2 linked regions of the Arabidopsis thaliana genome follow. The protein of the gene in region 1 interacts with the protein of each later gene in a biochemical or structural test. Each region holds a gene or a part of one and is shown on either strand. Other genes may lie near its edges. The genes, in order: RTV1 and XLG2.

The links.
Region 2: the proteins of RTV1 (region 1) and XLG2 form a complex in vitro, tested with the Arabidopsis thaliana proteins (one study listed by BioGRID).

Annotation. Positions count from the first base shown.
Region 1 is NC_003070.9:18,313,436-18,318,640, forward strand, and holds RTV1 (uncharacterized protein), read right to left. Parts: upstream 3,427-5,205; 5' UTR 2,874-3,426; exon of another isoform or gene 2,599-2,873; intron 2,216-2,598; exon of another isoform or gene 2,188-2,215; 5' UTR 2,026-2,187; coding exon 1,794-2,025; intron 1,709-1,793; coding exon 1,509-1,708; intron 1,410-1,508; coding exon 1,161-1,409; 3' UTR 682-1,160; downstream 1-681. Other genes in the region: AT1G49475 (AP2/B3-like transcriptional factor family protein), read left to right, coding at 1-215, 309-313; AT1G49490 (Leucine-rich repeat (LRR) family protein), read right to left, coding at 4,128-5,205.
Region 2 is NC_003075.7:16,439,005-16,445,555, reverse strand, and holds XLG2 (extra-large GTP-binding protein 2), read right to left. Parts: upstream 4,471-6,551; 5' UTR 3,978-4,470; coding exon 2,937-3,977; intron 2,844-2,936; coding exon 2,706-2,843; intron 2,614-2,705; coding exon 2,509-2,613; intron 2,427-2,508; coding exon 2,268-2,426; intron 2,188-2,267; coding exon 2,040-2,187; intron 1,927-2,039; coding exon 1,691-1,926; intron 1,583-1,690; coding exon 1,419-1,582; intron 1,311-1,418; coding exon 716-1,310; 3' UTR 550-715; downstream 1-549. Other genes in the region: AT4G34400 (AP2/B3-like transcriptional factor family protein), read right to left, coding at 147-233; AT4G34380 (Transducin/WD40 repeat-like superfamily protein), read right to left, coding at 5,234-6,551. UniProt on the Arabidopsis thaliana protein: Guanine nucleotide-binding proteins (G proteins) are involved as modulators or transducers in various transmembrane signaling systems. Binds GTP with specificity. Plays a role in the root morphogenesis by regulation of the cell proliferation.

The sequences.
Region 1 (5,205 bases):
TGTTGTGATCTTTGATGTGTCTGCTTCTGAGATTGAATATCCATTGGATGATACTGATGATAATAGAGAAGAAGTTATGGATGATGATGAACAAGGGTTTACTGGTTTTGAAAGTAGTGATGATGATGGTGAAGTTGTTGATATGGATGAATTGTTGAAGAAGAAGAAGAAGAAACCAAGAGTCAACATTAAGTCTGAGAATGTCATAATACTTGGTAAAATGTTTATAAGACATTTCTTAAGAAGGATTTGTGGGTTTTGTTTGTATCTTTTATGTGATTTCTTGTTCTTCTTCTTCTTTGTTGTAGACTAGTAGATGATGTTGAAGAGATTGCTATGAGGAGTCTTGAGGAAGAGGACTTGAAGAAGAACTTATGCAAGTATGTTTCTCCGACAAAGATCTCTGCGGTTCCTAGCTCGTTAAACCACATAATAGTTCTTCGGTTTTTTGTTTCTGGTTTCTAGCTCGTTAAACAGATTTGCAAGCTTTAATTTTTAGTAAGAACTTGGCATTTTTAAGACCCGTTGTGTAATATGTGTAGTGGAAATTCTTGTCAAGCCTGGCAAGAACTTTGTAGTAAGAACTTGGCTAACTTGTGAGATCCTGTTATCAGTTTGTGTGATGTAATGTGTATGTCGAAAAAAAAGCTTGCCCTGTCTGAAATATAGCAAAAGCAATTCCTCATTCAAAAAAGAGAAATCCAAGCTTTGATTGGTAAACCTTAGAACGGTGAAATGATTCTGCAAGTTTTACACAATAATATTTTTTTCCCCCTTTGTCGTGATATTTTCACCATCTTACACCTCACAGTTAAACCAACTAGAACAAGCTTTGCCAACTACATTTATGGATTCACCCACACAAACCCATAATAATCAACAATTCAAATAAACATAATTATCCTGATGAAGATAAAAGTATATACAACTCTACTTTTGAACCTAGCTACCACTCAAACAAAGAGTTTCCCACTCAGAGGTTATTATAATCGTCAAATACTTATCCACATCCAAACATAGGAACCTGAAATTTCACTCAAAACACTACTAGAACAGAGACAACCAATGCAAGAGAGAGAATGGTTAAGAGACCCCTACATAAAATTTTAACTTTGGAAAGCTACCTGCAAGATCGCTGATGAAAGGGAAATCTTTTTTGGTCACACATACTCATTGACACGAAAGGCGGTGACTTCGAGAACGAAATCCCGAGTTCTGAGTAGCTCAAACACACATACATCTCCTTCGCCTATATTGTTCTCGAGTGTGAACTCATACCATCCTTGGCTAAACTTAGCTCTCCCTGCTTTGTAGAGGCACCTCACTGGCCATTGTTTCTCACCGAGCTGGAGCTTGATGAAACCAGATATCCCACTTAGGTATTTCTCAGCAAACCCAGATGGCAAGTACTGTTGAACAAACAAAAAACAGAAACGAAGAAGTCAGCAAGAACAGGTCATGTTAACCCTAATCTTGAACCTTAATTACAATCTTTAAAAATTGTTTACCATGATGCAACCTCTGTATAGATATGATGGTCGCAGAACAACTCTAAAGTAAGGATTTGTTGGTTCGAATGTTTTGGCTGCATTGACGGCTCTCTCTCTTTCCTCTGCAGTTACAGTTCTCTTTCTAGCAGAAGCACTCTCGTAGAACTTTGAGCGGTTCTCTGAGTCATCTCCACCGGGAGTTGAAGAGTTTACTTCCTCTGCACATACCAAAACAATAAATCTTTTGACTCTCCTCTGAAACAAAAGTTAATACGTAATTAAGAGTCTGTCTCTGATACTTACCGGGATTAGGATTCTTCTTCTTCCTTCCTCTCTTCTTAAGTACCTTGGGCGTTTCTTCAGCTTTAGATTCTTTGAAAAAGCTTTGGATGGCTGTAGAACCGCCATAACCTTTATTCACTGGTTCAGTAGATTCAGGGTTCGATGGATAAATGACCTTAGCATCTTTGAGTTCAGGATCTTCAAACAATCGAGCACGTTTGTTGAACTGATTCTGTGCGGAATCCATTTGCATAAGAGCTTCACTACTAGAATGGTGGTTGATCTCAGAGTGTGGAGGATAAATTGAAAATGTAGACTGTAACTTTGTATCTGAAACCAATCCGAATGGAGAAACGGTTGACAAACTCCTGCCAACCGTCTTGAAACCAGATTTTGTTGTTGGCTTTCCTTAGTCCTACATGCAAACATGACCATCAGGTATTGTAAGTGCAAAAACAACTGAAAGCTCAGAACCAAGTAATGACCAAATGACTTCACTTTGATCAACACATACTATTATTTGGAATCAACAAACATTCATAAAACACAGTGGCTGGAGAAAAGAGAGTTTTGCTGGTTAAATCATAATCCCAAGTCAAGTTATTAGTCAAACAGCTTAAAGCAAAAACTCTCTTTTTATTTCTTATAATCAAAACAACGCATGCTTCTAGATCTATAAAGTCCACTCATAGTCTTTAAACTGAGACCAAAGTCAAATCTACAGTCGGAAGCTGATAATTCTCAATAAATCTGACAAAAGACACAACCTGAGCAGTATTCTGATGTCAAATTGAATCAAAGACATTTCAAAATTTCACTGACTCACCTCTCATTTCACCACAAAAATCAAGACTAGATTCAGATTTCAACCAACCCTAACAAAGAAACAGAGTTCCGATCCCAAGTTCCATTCGAATAATTTACCAAAAAAAAAAGACACTTTATCACTTCATCTCACTCAATTTTCAGTACCCAAAAAACAAAATCACATCTTTGGCAGTTCTAGACTCAAACCCAACACCAGTTTCCTCAATTTTGTCAGAAACCAAATACAGAACCAAAAAGAACGAAACACAATTTGAGAGAGAAGAGATCAATTACCAGACGCTTGTGTTGAAGAAAGGAAGAGAGAATAAACATGTGGAAGAAAGAGCGTGGCATATTCAGATAAATCAACAGTAAAAAGAGATAAAAGGAGGGACCAGAATTATTAAGCCAAGGAAGATGGGTCAGAGATCATTTAAACGACGCCGGAGAATCCGAAGCAAAACCCTTTTACTTCAGATCTGAAACCAGTTTTAAGTTTTTGCTTTTGGTCAAATGGCTCGACCACACACACTCTCTCTCTGGTTTAAGCCTGACCCAACATAAATATTTTTAAGAAAGAAAAAAAAAAACCAACTTGACCTTGAAAAAAAAAAGCTTGAGCGTGTCAATGTGTGTTTCTCCTTGACTCGTAATGGAACCGGTGAGTTGACTCGTTTCGTGTTTTTGTTTTTTGGTTAGCTAATTAAAAACTTATCGTCCCCACCATCTTCCCCTTTTCCACCTAATTTTTATCTCCTTTTTTCGCAATATAATTAATATTTTTGTCCTCTTTAAAGGATATAATAATTTATTTATTTCCCTTTCTTGCTTTTTTTTTAAAGTTAACGGATTATAATCTTTATGCTATCAAAAAAAAAAACTAGATTATAATTCAGCAAGAATTATTATTTAGTACAAATTTTAGATATTATATAATTTTAATAAAATTCTAATTTTATTATATAAAGTAAAAAAATTTAAAATTGTTAACACATGTTAAGTACATTAATGAGATATCAATATATGTTAAATCTAATTTTGTTAATATATTTTTTAATAGAAGATAAAAATTTCATAATTCTATCCGAATAAAGAACAAGTTCAATCATCTGGTGGAACATGAAACCCTAATTCAATTATTTCATACATAATTTTATTTATCATGACTTATGAAAAATGTCAAATAATTCATGACATAGTTATGAAAGATTAAATGTGTATAATATTAAACTATATGTAGCTAGTAAGATATTAAATTTTACAAATATAGATATTTATGTTTTGCTTCTCAAATAATAGAATAGAAGTCATAAAATGGCCAAAACAAATGATAACTTCTTTACCCCGAAAAAACAAATCGCATCGTGTTATAGTTCAATACTTCAATTTCAACAAAAAAAAATCTGCTGAAAGATAATCTACTATATAATTATTGGCATTTTAATTTTTCATCTTTGTAATATCTTTTTCGTTTGATACAAATAATTCACATGGAAAAAATGGACAGAAATGTTAAAAATGGGTAACACTGTCACTACTACATTGGTTTTAATATCCTTGGAACATTGGTGGTGGTGGCGATGCATATTGGAATCCAATGTGTGGTGGTAGGACGAAATCCCCATCATCATCATCGTCGTTGTTTTCCGGTGGTGGAATAGATGTGTCAGTGGAAGGAGAAGATGATGGTACTGATGATGGATTGACGGGTGTTGGTTCTGGTGCTTCAACTTCTTCTGATTGTTCTGGTGATGAGACCGGTTCGCTTGATGGTGTTGGTGATTGGACCGGTTTAGAGTTTGGTGTTGGGGCATGAACCGGTTCAAGAATTGGTGTTGGAGCTTGACTTGGTGACTGGTTTGATTCTGATGATGGAGTTGGTACTTGAGATGTTTCAGAGGATGTGGTTGGGGCTTGAACCGGTGTTGGAGCTTGAACTGGTGACAAATTTGGTGCTTGATATGATTCTGATGATGATGGAGTTGGCACTTGGGTTGGTTCAGAGGATGGGGTTGAGGATTGAACCGGTGTTGGAGCTTGAACTGGTGACAAAATTTGTGATTGATCTGATTCTGATGATGGAGTTGGCACTTGGGTTGTTTCAGAGGATGGTGTTGGTGCTTGAGTCGGTGTTGGAGCTCCCATTGGTGGTTGGTTTGTATTATGTGTTGGTGGTGGTGAGAAAGTTGGTGGAGGCGGAGAATATACTGGTGGTGGTGGTGAGTGGCTTGGAGGCGGTGGTGAGTATACTGGTGATGGTGGTGGTGGAGAGAAAACTGGTGGTGGTGGAGAGAAAACCGGTGGTGGTGGAGGAGAGTGAACTGGTGGTGGTGGTGATGGCGGTGGAGGAGAAGCAACTGGTGGAGGTGGAGAGTAGACATGTGGTGGTGGTGGTGATGAATAAACCGGAGGCGGCGGTGAGTGAACCGGTGGTGGTGGTGAGTAAATCGGTGATGGTGGTGATGGGGAAGGCATTGGTGGTTGTGGTGGTGGTACACGTGTATCCTCTACCTTGGGTGGTGGCGGAGAACGACGATTTTTAACCGGAGATGCATCATATGGATCATCCGGTGTTGGTCCTTGTGCTTCATTTGGTGGTGAAACCGGTTTAGTAGGCTCAGGTATC
Region 2 (6,551 bases), on another chromosome or scaffold:
ATGCAGATAAACACAGTGTTTGTTTCATAAAAACCATCAGACATAGTTCAAAGAAACCACTAGGCTAAGAGAATCTACCCAGTTCAAGAATCGTTTGCTCATGAACAGATAAACCTGAAAGAAGAAACCTCGAGAGAAAATCTTACCATGAACTCTGAGCTGAAATGGGAGACGAAAACAGTGAAGAAACGTGGAGGGAGCTGGAAATCATTGCTAGCCATTGAAGAGGCCATCTTGGATCTGTGTGTGAAGAGAGTGAGTGAGAGAGAACGAGTGAAAGAGAAAGAGAAAGAGAAAGAGAGAGAGAAGAGTAAAGAGAAAAAGTAAAGCTAAAATGTTGTATGAAGAGAGAGTACCTTACCTTGACGCTTGAGTCAAATCAACGTTTAAGTTTTTGCAGAGAAAGGAGGTACAATCCTCAGACCCTCGTATTCTGCGTGGCCATTTCAAATTATTTTCTTTTAAACGGTTTGATCTCCCAAACTGAACCGATAATTTATTGCTACTCCGGTCCAGTTCAACCTCAATAACCGTATAAGTAAATGTCTGTTAAACCGGGAAAATTCACTTTATTATTTCTCTATTTTTTTTCCCCTGAAAAATCAATCACATGAATGTATCTTCACACTACTACATATACAACAAACATACACACAGAGAGAGAAACAAACTTATGTAATTTCCACAAAGAAAGAAAGAATTTTAGGAAAAAATATCAAGAGGACGAGCTGGCCTCTATGCTAGTAGTAGACATCTCTTGGAACATGGAAGTTTCTTCAACATGCCACTTGAGAATCTCTCTCGCATACCTCAGTGCATTGTCCACAGTATCACTCTCCAAGCTCACTTGACAAACAAACAATTTTGGCTTAAAGCTCCTTCCACGCATATTTACGGGTTCCAAGATTGAGTCATAGAGTCTCTTGAACTTATATCCAATGTAATGGAAAGCACGCTGAGCCATTGGAGGGTTGTGTCTGCTCGTCTGGTTCTGGCTGATCAATGGGTTGAAGTCTTCAAACCACTCACAGGTTCTTAGAGGAACCTCTTCGATCTTTTCTTCTAGGAGATCAAATTTGGTTAGAACCAAAAGAAACCTTTTGTTAGCTAGGCTCGGGTGAGTCACCATGTTCTCGAAAAGCTGTTTGGTTGCAAGCATCTTGTTCACAATATTCCCCTCACCGTCTTCTATGTTTTCTGCATAGTCTGTTAGTGAGACACAAAATATCACCAAGTCAGCGTCTTCAAACATTTCCAGCAATTTCCAGTTTTCACCAAGGCTTCTCGGATTTAGCCGGATGAGTTGGTACCTAAAGAGAGAGAGAGAGAGAGAGAGAGAGAGAGAGAGAGAGAGAGGGTAAGTTCAACGGTTTTTCATATAGCCGGAATGCAACACAAGGAAAAAGAACAGAACTAACTTCATGTCTGTATCATGTTGATAATCGCTCTCAAGAGACTCTTCTTGAGAAGTTGATGGGAATGAGAAGTCCACACAAGAAAGTCCTTCCATAGAGGAGAGTCCTTCCGCTTGCAATATGTCCATATCAGAAGGATCGTATTCTGATCTCGAGATCTCAAGAATCTGAGAAGAAACAAATTTGGGTCAGTCATCTTTTTCCCCTTAAACAAAAGTGTTAAGGTCCTGAAAGAGCGTTTATATATGCAAGCAGGCAACTTGATGTAAACTTACTCTTTCAAGAAAATAAACGGCGTTCCTGGGAAGTGTATCGCGAAGTCTTTTGTAGGTGGCTTGAATAGCTGGTACTCTCCAGAGATCTGCAACGGTTTGAGCATTCTCACGGCTTGATGGTGGAAATATCTTCAGGTTTCCGTCTTCCTTTTCTTTCAAAACCCAATCTGAAAAATGTTTTAGTCTCGGGTTGATCGAGTTACCTGGTTTTGCACTGGTTTCATCTCCCACATTGCCTAAATCCCAAGAACTCGATCAGTCTTCCTCAATAATCAATTGTTAACTGATGTTTGTATTAGAATATGAATGCATTCTTATTCTAATAGTTTGTACAGTCAATAATAATTACCTGAAGACTGGTCATTGCTCATCTCTTTTTCAAATCTTTCATGTGCCTCAAGAACCATTGCCAGATAGGTATAGAGATTTGTTTGGATTATGAATTTGATTCTTTCACGGTCTTCTAAAGAGAATGAGACGTTGTAGAGAGACCTTGCCTGAAACAGAAGAAGTCAATTCCCGATTCTTTACTAGATGTGAAACATTCAAGTGGGAGGCATTAAGATGAATAGCTCACTTGTTTGTAAATTGTAGTGGCGCCACCTTTTTCGCTACCAATCAAAAGAAGCTTGTTAAGCATCTTCTGCTCATATAAGGGCACATCATATGGTTCTACTGCAGACGAAGCCGGAGGAACTGGCAGAGAGAACACAGCGCAAGCAATTTTTGCTCTCTTCTGTAAAAATAATATCCTTCGTTGTCTTTAGTTTTATATTTAATGTTGTGAACGAGAAAAGCTGGTGATCAGGAAACCATACCTTACTCCAGATGTTCCCGATGGGATGCTTTTGACCTTCTTCTCGGTAAGAACCATCTGAATCGACCCAAAAATGAGGTTTTCCTTCACATTGCACCCCCGCCCACTACATCAAAGCAAAGAAGCGCTCAGTTCAGAACAATGACACATACACTAAGCATATTTGTTATCCAAAACAAAGGTGAAAAGCAAAAGAACCTTGAGCATCGTGAGCTCTGGCTTGGTTATTTCCCGGCCATTAATATAAATTTCAGTGTCTCCATTGCTTACTTTCTCACTGATGTATCCTCCTATGCTGTTGTTAGGACTTATAATCTGACTAGGTTTCTCTCCTATCTGATTAAATAAACACATAGAGGCTCTGATTTAGCTGAGCACTCAAAATACAATCCCGATAATAGATACGCAGACATATATAAGAAACTGTACCTTTCCCCAGTAGCCAGCAACCTTATCATACCAATAGTGTCCGGGTTTTAGCTTCTTGGGTGGATTTGGACATGTCTGCAACGTGTAAAGCTCATCTTCACTTAAAGGCTTGTCATTGACAATGATAAGTCGTGAAGGCAATTGATTCGCCTTGCAGGTGATCTCGGCATTCATGACTTGTCGAAGTTCAGAATCCGTGAGATGGCGCTTGAGCATTCTTGAACACTTTCCGAGACTTGCTCTCTTGGACTCATCAATCCTATAACCAATGCAAGCTTGACACTTTCTTCCTTCGGGCATCGCACCCATGGCTCTGCGCACACAGTTGAAACAGTATTTGGCATCGCAGACAATACAGACTTCCTTCTCAGTAAACCGGTTCCCCAACTGGCACCGGTAACACGATCCTCTTTTACCTTTCCTTTCAGCTCTATGCGTTGCAGCTATACTTTCTCCATCAGAAACATAGGAGCTCTCATCACATTCACTACTCTGAAAAGGTTCAACGAATCTCACTGCTCTAGGTCCCACATCCGAAACTCTGTCATCATCTAAGTGATCCTCCTCTCTCGCTGATGCAGACAATGGTGATGATGGTGATAACCGAAAATCAGCAGGACTTTTCACTTCTTCTGGTACATCCAACCTCTTTGATGATGATGATGATGATGAGCCAGAAACAACATCACGCCCTATCAAAACCACACTAGAACCAGCTGCAGAGTCAACGAAACCGTTCTTCTTCTCTATTCCAGAATCAGGTGGTCTCTTGGTATCCTTAGTCATAACGAGAGGTGCCACTGGGTAAGAGATACCACTCCGCAAGGAAGAAAAGGAAACGGGAAGAGCCGTAGGAATCTGATCAACTTCAACGGGAAGAGCTCGTGGCACATTAGCAATAAGAGGACCTTTATACTCACTGGCGAATGAATATTCGATTCGATAGCCACTACTTGTTTCATCATCATCGTCACTTTCTCGATTATCCCTTTTAGGATTCGGTGATGGGAAAGGTAATAACTTTCTTATAACTGCAGCCATCTTCTTACCCAATCAAGCACACATACAAACCCAAAAAAGCCCTAATTCCTAAAATTCCCTAATTTAGAAACTTAACAACTTATCCGAGAAAACGAGAATTCATGAAGTGATAATATACAGATCCTAAGCCATTAGTGGCTTAAATAATCAAATCACAAAGCGCGTGAAATAAGAACGCAACTACAGAAATATAGAAAAAATTGATCACAGAAAGCTCCTTTAGCTTAAAGAAAGAGACGAAATTTAGTTTTTTTTTCCAGGAAAGTGGCGATGGAAGGAAGAAAAATCAGCAAATAAATTTTCCGGGAAAAGGGAATTTGCAGAAGAAGTAAACAAAAAGAAGAAAGACAGAAAGATGGGTTGGATCGTATACACTAGTAAAAGACGAGGACTTGACAAAAAAAGGGGAAGACTTTCTCTTTGTTTTTTATTTTCTCTGCAATCAAAAGGAAAAATGAGTTATTTTCCGGGAAAATTCTTGCCGTCAACGCGGGTTAGGGGAGTTGAAAACGATGCGTTGCGAAAGGCGTTGATGGAGTCAAAGAGAGAGGGCAATTTCGTAAATATATCTTCGGTCCTGCAATAATGTTCGCATAACCCGAATTACACGGTTAATAGAAAACCGGAGGTGTTGACCCTATTTAAGTATTTATCAAAGAGAGGCGCAGAGACATATATGATGATCCCGGTTGTGGAAATGTTTTCGGTTAAGTGATTGAATAAGACTTTTTTTTTTTTGCTCATAAAGATAGATTAGGTTTAAATGGTAACAGTAAATTCACAAAGATTAGTAATTTCTAACAACTTTGGGTGGATATTTCCAGGTTGGAAAATCAATTAAAAAATATCAACATCCTATATTATAATAATATAGAAAGACTAATTCTAATGAAGAGGAAAACGACTCATCCAAAATTCCAAGTTATAAAGTTGCAACCACGACATAGACCACTAAAGAAAACAAATATATATGTTTGATTCGGTCTTTGTTCTTGTTATCTTACAAATTTATGGAAAATAAATAAATAATTCAATTTCGTTTCAAACATTTTTTTTAAAGAAAAAAATAACCAAAAAACTCATTACGTGAAAACCATTAACCCGACTTTGATTCTCACACCAGCTAGCGTGGCACAAACCTCTCCGTTGACTTAGTCATAAAAATGAAATCAATCCTCTGTCTCTTTCCCGGCGTGAATATGGCTCTCGTGACGACGTGACACTCTCGTAAATAATCACACTATGCTCCTCCACTCTTATTTTTCCACATTGCGTGAACTCCACGCGCCACTTCCTTCATGCGGAGACGAAGAGCTCTTCCGCTCTGAAGATGCTGCTGGCTCGTCCATCTCCTTCCACGTGGCCATTCTCTCCGACACGCGCCACACTTTCACCGACTTGTCCAAACTTCCGCTGTATATAATCCACTTCCGGTCTCCCTCGGCCACTGAGGCTTTTGCTCCCTGATGACAAGCCCGTTCCTCCTCCACGGCTAGGCACTTGACCGGCCCCATGTGTCCCGTCAAAACAGAGAGACACTGATGGGACTTGTCAGACGGGTCCCGCCTCCATACGCATATGTTCTTGTCGGCGGAACCACTCAACAGCAAGTTCCCCGCTATACCTAGACAAAGCACTGCGGATTTGTGGCCTTTGAGTATTCCGCCTGTGAATGACCGCTTTGAACGCTCCCAATAGTTCACTAGCCCGTCCGAAGAACCGCAATATACGATGGAAGATTGTGATTTTACGGCCAACGCCGTGACCGCATTTTCTTGCTTGAGCAAAACTTGAGCTAACGTATGTTTTGTTCCTTTGCCTTGCAACTCACGTTTCCACACTTTAACAGTACCATCTGCGGATCCCGTGAACACCAAGTCATCAAAACCGGACATTACAGAGTTTATCGCGTCATCGTGTGCATGTATCGATTCCAAACATTTTGAATCCGCGATTCTCCACACTTTGATTGTCGTGTCCCAAGAACTCGAGTACAACAATCCAAGCTCCACGTCCAAGCTAAGACTAGACACTGCGTCGTTATGCTTCGTCTTCACAGAGTTTCTGTTGCGGCGTACCTCCATGAAATGCTTAGGGTTGACGGAGCTCTTGACCATTGATTTAAATGTTGGCAATGTTCCAACCCGCTTATGTTTTCCTGGTTTTCTCTTCGAAACCTTCCAAATCCGGATCTTCCCGTCTTGATGGCCGGTAAAGATTCGGTCTCCGAATATCACAATGGCCTTGATTAGCCCACTACTGGATTTAAACCCAGCGTGTTCCTTCAAATTCTTCCAAACCCTAATGTTCTTCGAATCCGAGCCCGTGTAGAGAAGGTCACCAGAAGCGGCTAGCGAGTATATATGCCCTTCTTTTCTAACAATAGATCCAATGAGACCGTTGGTCTCGAGGACATTGTCTTCGTTGAAATCTGCACCCCAAGGAGGCGACACGCGGGCCCAAGGCGACATTACGCAAGGAGAACCTTCTCCGCTGGCCGGACCGCTGCTCATGGTCGAGGCCGAGACGCTGCTAAACCGCTGGTGAGTCACGTTGCTGTTGATAATGATGGGA